2 linked regions of the Ovis aries genome follow. The protein of the gene in region 1 interacts with the protein of each later gene in a biochemical or structural test. Links are inferred from orthologs where the notes say so. Each region holds a gene or a part of one and is shown on either strand. Other genes may lie near its edges.

What was found.
Region 2: the proteins of NFE2 (region 1) and MAFG form a complex in vitro, tested with the Homo sapiens proteins (2 studies listed by BioGRID and IntAct, with this or other methods). The link is inferred for Ovis aries from reciprocal best matches to the Homo sapiens genes NFE2 and MAFG.

What each region holds. Positions count from the first base shown.
Region 1 is NC_056056.1:132,256,538-132,260,969, forward strand, and holds the start of NFE2 (transcription factor NF-E2 45 kDa subunit), read left to right. Parts: upstream 1-1,365; 5' UTR 1,366-1,520; coding exon 1,521-1,534; intron 1,535-1,731; coding exon 1,732-1,900; intron 1,901-3,127; coding exon 3,128-4,138; 3' UTR 4,139-4,432. UniProt on the Homo sapiens protein: Component of the NF-E2 complex essential for regulating erythroid and megakaryocytic maturation and differentiation. Binds to the hypersensitive site 2 (HS2) of the beta-globin control region (LCR).
Region 2 is NC_056064.1:50,464,965-50,469,335, forward strand, and holds the start of MAFG (transcription factor MafG), read left to right. Parts: upstream 1-1,556; 5' UTR 1,557-3,876; coding exon 3,877-3,998; intron 3,999-4,371. UniProt on the Homo sapiens protein: Since they lack a putative transactivation domain, the small Mafs behave as transcriptional repressors when they dimerize among themselves.

The sequences.
Region 1 (4,432 bases):
GTGGATTCCACATTAAATACCTGTGATGGGCCATCCTTGTGGTGATCTAAGGTCCTCCAACCCTATGCTCTGCCTGTCCTTCTCTAAGTCTCCCCCACTCACCCAGTCTGCCTGCCTTTACTTCTGCAGCAGATATAGGGTACAGTGCGTGGCCCTAAGAGAGCAGGGGGCCCCTGCCAAATCTGCTTGGAGTGTCTTGCCAAAGGCAGGGAGAACAGATGAGGGTGAGATGGGTGTCAGGGAATAGGGAGGTGGAGTGAGGAGAAAGGGTGACAGAAAGGAGAAGATGAAGGCAGGGCTGAGGGATTGCTGAGAATGTTGAACTGTCCAAGCAGAGAGGGAGGGACCTCCAAATTCAACTTGTCTCACTCCCTGGTTTTACAAATGAGGAAACAGAAGCTCAGAGAAAGGCGACGGCTTGCCCGACATCTTGCTGCTGCGCAGGTCTGCAACTCCAGCCCAGATCCAAAGCAAAGGGGCTGAAGGGGAGTGAGTATTCAAGTCTCTAAAGAAATATTCCCTAGAAGAGAAAAGAGGCCGAGATTCCACAGAAGGAGCTGACTGATGCTGACTACCAGTAGAGTCTCGGCGTAGCAAGACGTGGGAGCAGGACTGGGAAGGCACCTGGAAGATGGGACGGCAGGAGAGTCAGCAACTCTAAGCACCAGACCTGACTCTGCTATTTAGCAGCTTGAGTCTCAGATTCAGAATGGACCTTATAGGATCTTTGTGAAAATCAATCTCATAAATGAGTGCCTATAGACCCCCAGGCTCAGTTCTCAACAAATGCCAAGCAAGTCTTTGCTGTGGTTATTATATGACCTGGTTTGTGGGGTAGGGTATAGCCAAGAGGACCCTGCAGGACACAGGGCAGAGGTCCAGTGTCTCCAGAGACCATTCCTCCTCTGCTGCCTGCTGCTGATAAACCTCTTATCTGGCCCAGGCAGGGGAGCCCAGGACCAGGATAGGAGGCGAGGGCAGGGCTGCTATCAGCCAGCAGGCCCAGGGCCTATCTTAGAGAAAGGGAGGGGCTGTCTGCTTGGCTCTTCCCACAACACGCTCCTTGGGGATCCCCAAGCACTCACTCTCAACTTGGAAGGAAAAGACTGAGATCCTAAAACTGAGGGCAGAGGAGGAGAGCAGGAGTGATCCCTGAGGCTGCTGCAGGAGACAGGAAAAACAGAACCACCACCCTAGATGATGTGGCTTCTGTCCTGGCCTGTGATGCAGTCCTGAGGAGTTCAGCAGTAGGGGAAAGAGAAGGCATCTTATCTGAAAAGTAGAGCTCCCAGAGGAACTGCCTACAGCCATAGCAGGTGAGGTAGAGATAACACAGCAGAAAGAGGCTTTCTAGCTTAAGGAGTTGTTGATGAGTGCAGCATGGATGGGGGGATGAAGCGTCTCCTTCCCTCAGGGGAAGCTGGAGGGAGCTGCTCTGTGCATGCGTGCGTGTTCAGTCGCTCAGTCATGTCAGACTCTTGGTGACCCCATGGACTGTAGCCCGCCAGGCTCCTCTGTCCATGGGATTTTCCAGGCAAGAATACTGGAGTGGGTTGCCATTTATTCCTCCAGGGGATCTTCCCCACCCAGGGATCAAACCCAAGTCTCCTGCATTGGCGGGTGGATTCCTTACCACTGCGCCACCTGGGAAGCCCAGCTGCTCAATGAAGAAGGATAAAACTGCTGACCCGTGGCAGGAGAGGTCCTAACCTTTGTTTCTCTTTGATATAGGTTGCTGGGACCATCTGGGCTCTCGGGACCTTGGACCAGGCCCTGGCCCAGTAGGATGTCCCCGTGTCCTCCACAGCAGAGCAGGAACAGGGTAACACAGCTACCCATTCCGGAGCCAGGTGAGATGGAACTGACTTGGCAGGAGATCATGTCCATCACTGAGCTGCAGGTAAGCCAGGCAGTGGGGAACAAGGTGGTGGGGGGAGGGAAAAGCAGCGAAACAGGGAGTCTGGCTGGGATCGAGGCCCTGGGTGTGTGTGGCAGGGGGTGGCACTGGAGCAAGCAGAGCCCAGGGTCTCAAGATGGGAGATTTTCTGGACACTGTAAAAAGAAGGGCTGGAGTCGAAGAGATCTGGAGGGAAGGCCAGAGCGTTGAGGGGGAGGGGTGCGGATGAGCAAGAGATAGCAGTGGTGGGAAGGAAGGATCTGATTGGGGGTGCAAGCTCTCTGAGCAGCCACTCTGCTCACGGCTCTCTACCTCACCTCCTGCCCCGCCTTCCCTTCTTCCCTTCTTCACCTTCCTCTGTTCTGCCCTCTTCCAGTCCTGCCCGTCTTCATCCCTCATTTCCTTCCCCTGTCCTCAGCAGCTGGGCCCCTTTCCCTCAGGTAGCAGAGCTGTAGTTCAGGGGCCTCAGGAAGGTGGGGGTGGGGGTGGGGGGTCGGGCTATGCCGGGGTCCTTTCCTCCTGCTACCTGGACAAAGGGGTGTCTGTTGGCCTAACAATGATGCCTTTGTCCCCAGCTGGGCTGGAGCAGGATGGCTCCCCGATGTGGGTTGGGGGCCCTGTTCTCCTCAGCATGTTCTCTCCTCCTCTCTGCACCTGGGCAGGGACAGAGGGACTGGAGGGGAAAGGGCAGAGCTCACGGTGGCTCCCCGAAGTAACTCTCTGCCCCAGACCTGGCACTGTGCCCATGCCAGCCTGGGTCCTCAGGATCTGCCCTAAGCTCTCTTCCCACACAGCAGCTCCCTCTGCTGGGCACCCAGGGCATGGCCAGGGTCTGAACTTGACCCTTTGACCCTAGATAATGGCAGCAGGAAAAGGGTTCCAAGGGTCATCGTGGAGTGACTCCTTGTCTTCCTGAAGGAAATAAAGGGACAAGAGACATCTCAAGCCAGTAAGAACTTCTCCTGAAGAGGAGGGGATTCCACAACTGTTGTGGCGTTAGTCCTTTCTGAAGTCTGACTTCAGCGAGTGCCCTTCCTGTTTAAGCCGCTTTCTTCATGAACTTGCTCTGTCACAACTTTGCCAGAAGCTTTTAATGATTATTAGCAACTTTCTGTTCCCTTGTGATTATCTCACTAGTTCTTTCAGTGGGACTTAGATTGGTTCTGAGAGAGAGATGGTTTCTTCTCTTCCTCAGCCCGTCTACAAACCTCTTGGTGTCTTTTCTTGCAGGGTCTGAATGCTCCAAGTGAGCCATCATTCGAGCCCCCAGCCCCTGTCCCATACCCAGGGCCCCCGCCGCCTCCAAGTTACTGCCCCTGCTCTATCCACTCGGAGCCTGGCTTTCCCCTTCCTACACCACCTTATGAGCTCCCGGCACCCACGTCTCATGTCCCAGACCCTCCGTACTCCTATGGTAGCAACATGACTGTACCAGTCTCCAAGCCACTGACCCTCTCGGGCCTGCTCAGTGACCCCCTCCCAGACCCCTTGGCCCTCCTGGACATTGGGTTGTCAGCGGGGCCATCCAAGCCCCAAGAAGACCCAGAATCTGACTCAGGATTATCCCTCAACTATAGTGACGCTGAATCTCTTGAGTTGGAGGGGACGGAGGCTGGCCGGCGTCGCAGCGAGTATGTAGAGATGTACCCAGTGGAGTACCCCTACTCACTAATGCCCAACTCCTTGACCCACCCCAACTATGCCTTGCCACCTGCCGAGACCCCCTTAGCCTTAGAACCCTCCTCGGGCCCTGTGCGGGCCAAGCCCACTGCACGGGGGGAGGCGGGGAGTCGGGATGAGCGGCGGGCCCTGGCCATGAAGATCCCCTTCCCTACGGACAAGATTGTCAACCTGCCAGTAGACGACTTCAACGAGCTGCTGGCGCGGTACCCGCTGACAGAGAGCCAGCTGGCCCTGGTCCGGGACATCCGAAGGCGGGGCAAGAACAAGGTGGCCGCCCAGAACTGTCGCAAGAGAAAGCTGGAGACCATCGTGCAGCTGGAGCGGGAACTGGAGCGGCTGGGCAGCGAGCGGGAGCGGCTTCTCCGGGCCCGAGGCGAGGCCGACCGGACCCTGGAGGTCATGCGCCAACAGCTGACGGACCTGTACCGTGACATTTTCCAGCACTTGCGGGATGAAGCAGGCAACAGCTACTCCCCTGAAGAGTATGCGCTACACCAGGCTGCTGATGGGGCCATCTTCCTGGTGCCCCGGGGGACCAAGATGGAGGCCACAGACTGACCTGGCCGGAGGGGGTGGGACTGGTGATGGGGGTTTCCTTCATTCTCTTCTGATAAAGGTCCTCCCCATCCATGAGGCCCAGGGGGAGCTGAGTTCTGTAGACCAGGAGGGGACCACAGTGGGAAACCTGGCATTTGGAAGGTCCGAGGTGTGTTCAGTGAGGCTTGCCTGGAGGCAAGGATGTTGAGGGGAGGGCTGGAATCTCTCTTCAGTGGTTCAGTTTTCTAGGTCTCCAGTCTGGGTTGAGCTTTGGTATATAAAGCACTCTACGGAAATAGCCTTGTGCTGTGTCTT
Region 2 (4,371 bases), on another chromosome or scaffold:
TGATGTGGGGAGAATGCTATGAAGTGTTTGGTATCCTGCAAAAAGTGACACCTGTGGAAATCCCTGCAAGTATGAGCAGGGACAGAAGAGCCTGAAGCTGGTGGTGAGGATGCGAGAGGTCCAAGACCTCTTTCTTGGCCTCAGGGGCAAGTCTTGGTGGTCTAGTACATTGTGAGACTCAGGCTACACCCAGTACAGGGGACACGCCTTGCCCTTAAAGAACACAGACAGGCTGATAAGACAAACACATGCAACCCTGCAAAGTAGGTGACAAGGTCCTGTGGGATTCTGAGGGAATTAGAGTCTGGGAGAGAGAGCTGCTAACACCTTGTTGTCTCCTGGCTTTGGGGGCCTCCTGGGTTGGCCTCCATCAGTGGCACTGAATTCCCCTGAGGACAGGCAACCTCTCACTCACCCTTCTTTCAGCTCACCTGATCCCTCTGACCTTCCTGGCAGGGTAGGTCCCCCTTCCTGGCTTTTCATTTAAGAAGGTAAATCCAGAATTTCAAGGTAGAAATTGGATCCCTTCAATTTCCCGTCTGCCTTTTGTCACCTTTTTCTCTGGGAATTTTGAAGAGCCGTGAGAACTTAGAGAAAGTTCAGGAGCAGACATGGACCGGTGACCTGAGTTCCAGCCAGATGCTGATGAAACAGGAAAGGAAAGGTACAATTCCTACATCAACTGTTAATTCAACAGATGTTTACCCCTCACCCACTCTGAGCCAGACGTGTTCCAGGGACCACTTGAGTCCTTGTGAGGTCTCAGGATGTTGGGTAAAGACAGATTACACTACTGGAAGGATGCTGGAAGTGGCAGACAGACCTAAGTTTTGAATCCTGGACAAGCCCTTCACCTCCGGGAGTATATGGGTCTTCTGTGAGCCAGGCCAACGTTCCTGGCAGGGCTGAGGCCCGCTCCAGTTATCGAGGCAGTGCATGCAGAGTCTGACAGGCGGCATCAGAACTACCGTGAGAATCTTCTCCGTTATGCGTGGGACCTCTAATCCGCACCTGCACTCTGGACACGTGGCCTTTGAATTGTCCTGCACACAAGGCTCAGGAGACTATTTGAGCAGGATAGCCAGACCCCACCTTGAAAGGGGCGTGGCTGGCCGGGAGCGCGCTCCTGGGCCAGTCCCGCGAGACCTCACCCACCGGGCGCGGCGCGCGTTGCCCAGGCGACGGCGCCTGGGCGCGCAAGCGCAGTGCAGGCGTGCCCCGCCCCCGCCGCCGCCGCCGCCGCACCTTCCCCTTTAAGCCCCAGCTGGTCGCGTCGCTGCTTCATGAATGGAGCCCACGTGACCAAACATCATGTGACGTCTGTGGAGCGGCGGCGGCGGTGGCTGTGGCGGCGGTGGCGACGGCGGCGGCGGCGAAGAATCCCGAGCCCCGAGCCTGGTCCAGCCCGGCCTTCCCAGCGCGCTCGGCGCGGCCCGCGCAGGCGGCGAGCCCCTACTCTGGGCCCAGAGTACTCGCTCGGCCAGCCCAGCGCGGCCTCGGAGTGCCCGCCCCGCCCCGCCCCGGCCTCGGCCCGCCGGGCCCGCAGTGTGGTGGGTGAGTGCGGCGGCGGCCCGGCTAGGGCCGGACGGAGGGTGGCCAGGGATTCCAGGCCGGGGACGGGTGCTCGCGGGGCTGCGGCTCCTCCCGGCGGCGCGGGCCGGGTACTTAGGTCTTTGGGTCTGCCTGTGCCCTGCTGGCGGCCCATGCCTCGATTTCCCCACCGGTCAGGGGCAGTTCCTGGCCTCTGAGCCGGGGGTAATGGGGTGGGCGCAGGGGCGCTCAGGGGCAGGGCGGGGCTTGTTCTGGGCTGGCTAGGTAAAGCCGGGCGTCCTGGAGGGAGGGGCGGCCTGGGTGGCGGGAGGAAAGGGTGGGGTCGAGCAGGGCGCCCAGGGCTCCGCGGAAGAGCTCGGCGGCCCCGGCCTGAGCTGCTGATTCATCAGGTGTCTGTGTCGAGGCTTCCCTGGCGCGGGGTCTTTAGCAAGCCGGGGGCAGGAGGCGGCACGTGGGGGGCGGGCTGGGAAGACCCTGCCCGCGCCGGCTTCACTCCGTCACACGCGTGCCAGAGCCCAGAGGGAGACTTGCTGAGTCATCAGCATGAGGTCACTAGATGCTTGTCCTAATGCCTGGGGGGATTTCAGCTAGGGGCCTGAGAGGCCGGGAAACGAGGGGTGAGAGGGAAACCGTGGGAAGTTAGAAGGGGCCAGGCCCCAGGCTGGGGCGCCTGCTTAAGTTTGGACTGATACGAGTTTACGATAGGAGGGTGAGGAGTAAACGGAGCAGTCACGGTGCAGGTTATCCCGGGGTAGAGGGTGAAACCCCTGGTGTGTCCATCCCCTCCCAGGCAAGCTTTTCTCAGGCTGCTGGTCCCTGACCCGCCTCTGGGACAGTTCCCCAAACTGGGAAATAGTTCTGAGAAGAGGGGAGGAGCTTGGGGGGGGCCGTCCTAGCGGGCTGGGAAGTAGGCTTTCCCTGTGGCTGGCGTGGTTGGCCAGGCCCAGCTGTCTCAGGTGGGAAGACGTGAGGCAGTGGGAGAAGGAGGGGCGCCTGTACTTGAGTCCTAGGTGACAGTGGACAGTTCACGGGGCAAGTCAGTGCAGCTTTACCAGGAAATTGGCAAAGGAGAGGAAGCATAAGGACTTAGACTTGAGGGGAGTGAGGTGTCTGGTGAACAGGCTTTGGCTTTCTTCACAGCCTGGCCTTGGGGTCTGAGTGGTGGTAACTTTGAGGGTGGACTGGTGTGGATGGCAGGAGTTGACGCATCCCCGTCACCCCAGAGTGGTTCCACTTGAGGTTGGGGCTCAGTACTGTGCAGGTTAGCAAAGAACGTGGCCCTTCTGGGTATCAGGCCAGTGGTAGGGACTCCTGGGGAGTGACAGCCTGAGGGTGGTGTGGCCTGAACTATTTTTCTTGGGTGTATGAGTGGTTCCTGGTCTTCAGGGTTAGGGGAGCACTCTGTCTAGACCAGAGCTGACTGCTCTTGCCCAGAGGTTCATGGCTAGCCAAGGCTGACCTTGTGGTTTGTCCTTCCCCTCCAGCCCTGGGCTTATAGATGCCAGGTGTTTTAACACTTAAGCTGATCTTTTGGCTGAAATTCTATGCCCCAGGAACATGTAGATTCTTCTCAGCTACTTATGCTCTGGTGGAAATTAAGTTTTAGACTTTTTACAAAGGGCTTCTGGAGAAGGTTGGTCTAAAGGGCAGGGTGGGAGTGCAGTGGGCTAGGTGAGGGTGCCAGAGTGACCAACGCCACACCTGCCAGGGCAGTTTAGCCACTGGTGTTTGTGATCAGGAGAAGGAGCAGGGGCGACTAGCCTCCTGTCTGCTGTCCACACCTGGGAAAGAGGATGGAGCTCTCTCCCCTTTCTGGCTGGCTCTCACCTTGAATGAGTGGCCCTGGGTACCTTGGTGGGTTCCTGCCCTTGGGACCACCCATGCCTTCTCCACAAGGTGTGCTCAGCCTTAGTGGAAGCAGAGATGAGAGGCAGGGTAAAGGTTCTCCTTGATCCAACCTCTGAAATGCCCTCCCTCTGGTTTCTTGTGGTGGGCTGGGACTGACGGTCCTGAGCCATCAGTCCCAGCCCATGCCCAAAAGCTGTCTCCATCCCAGTAGTGAGAGTCCTCGGGTAGCGGAGACCAGGCCAGGAGGTCAGAAGCCCCTGCTTTGCTGAGACCTGCCCCTCCCCCTCACGAGTAGCACACAGGCACACCTTTGATTAGGAGGCGATTGGCTACACTTGTGCTGAGTTCAGGGCTTCTGTGGAGGGTGAAATCTGCCGAGGAGGCACTTTTCAGCTCCCAGCCGCCACGCTCGGCACTTTTCTGTGTGATCTCTTCAGGAAGTCACCATGTGCTCAGCATTTGAGGGTTGGGGGGTGGATGGAGGATGGCGTGTGGGAAAAGCTGGTGCCAGGGCTTTTCCTTCGCGCTGACAGACCCTGGACCCGGACTCAGGGCTCGGGGAGCCCTTCTGGCTCCACCTGGAGGACCTGGCTCCTGCGGTAGGCATGGGGCCCTGAAGACCTTGTGACCTCCGGTTCCTCTGCCCCACCCTCTGCTCTGGAAGAGCGGTGGCTCCATAGCCTCTCCAGGAGGGCACCACAATCCTGGTTAGGCCTCCATTTACCTCCCTGCATCTAACCTGGAAGGTCACAGAGGGAGCAAGGGGACAGAAGTGGTCCAGCTGAGCCAGGAATCCAGGACTCAGTGGGGAGAAATGTCCTAGGCAGGGCTGCAGAAAGTGAGGGCAGGATGCAGAAAAGATGACCAATGGGTGGGTGAGGGGGCCCTCTGAGTTTTGTTCCCTGCCAGAGAACAGTCACTGGCCAGAAAGGGCTGAGCAGGCCCCTGGGGGGTCAGTTGTGGGCACTCTTG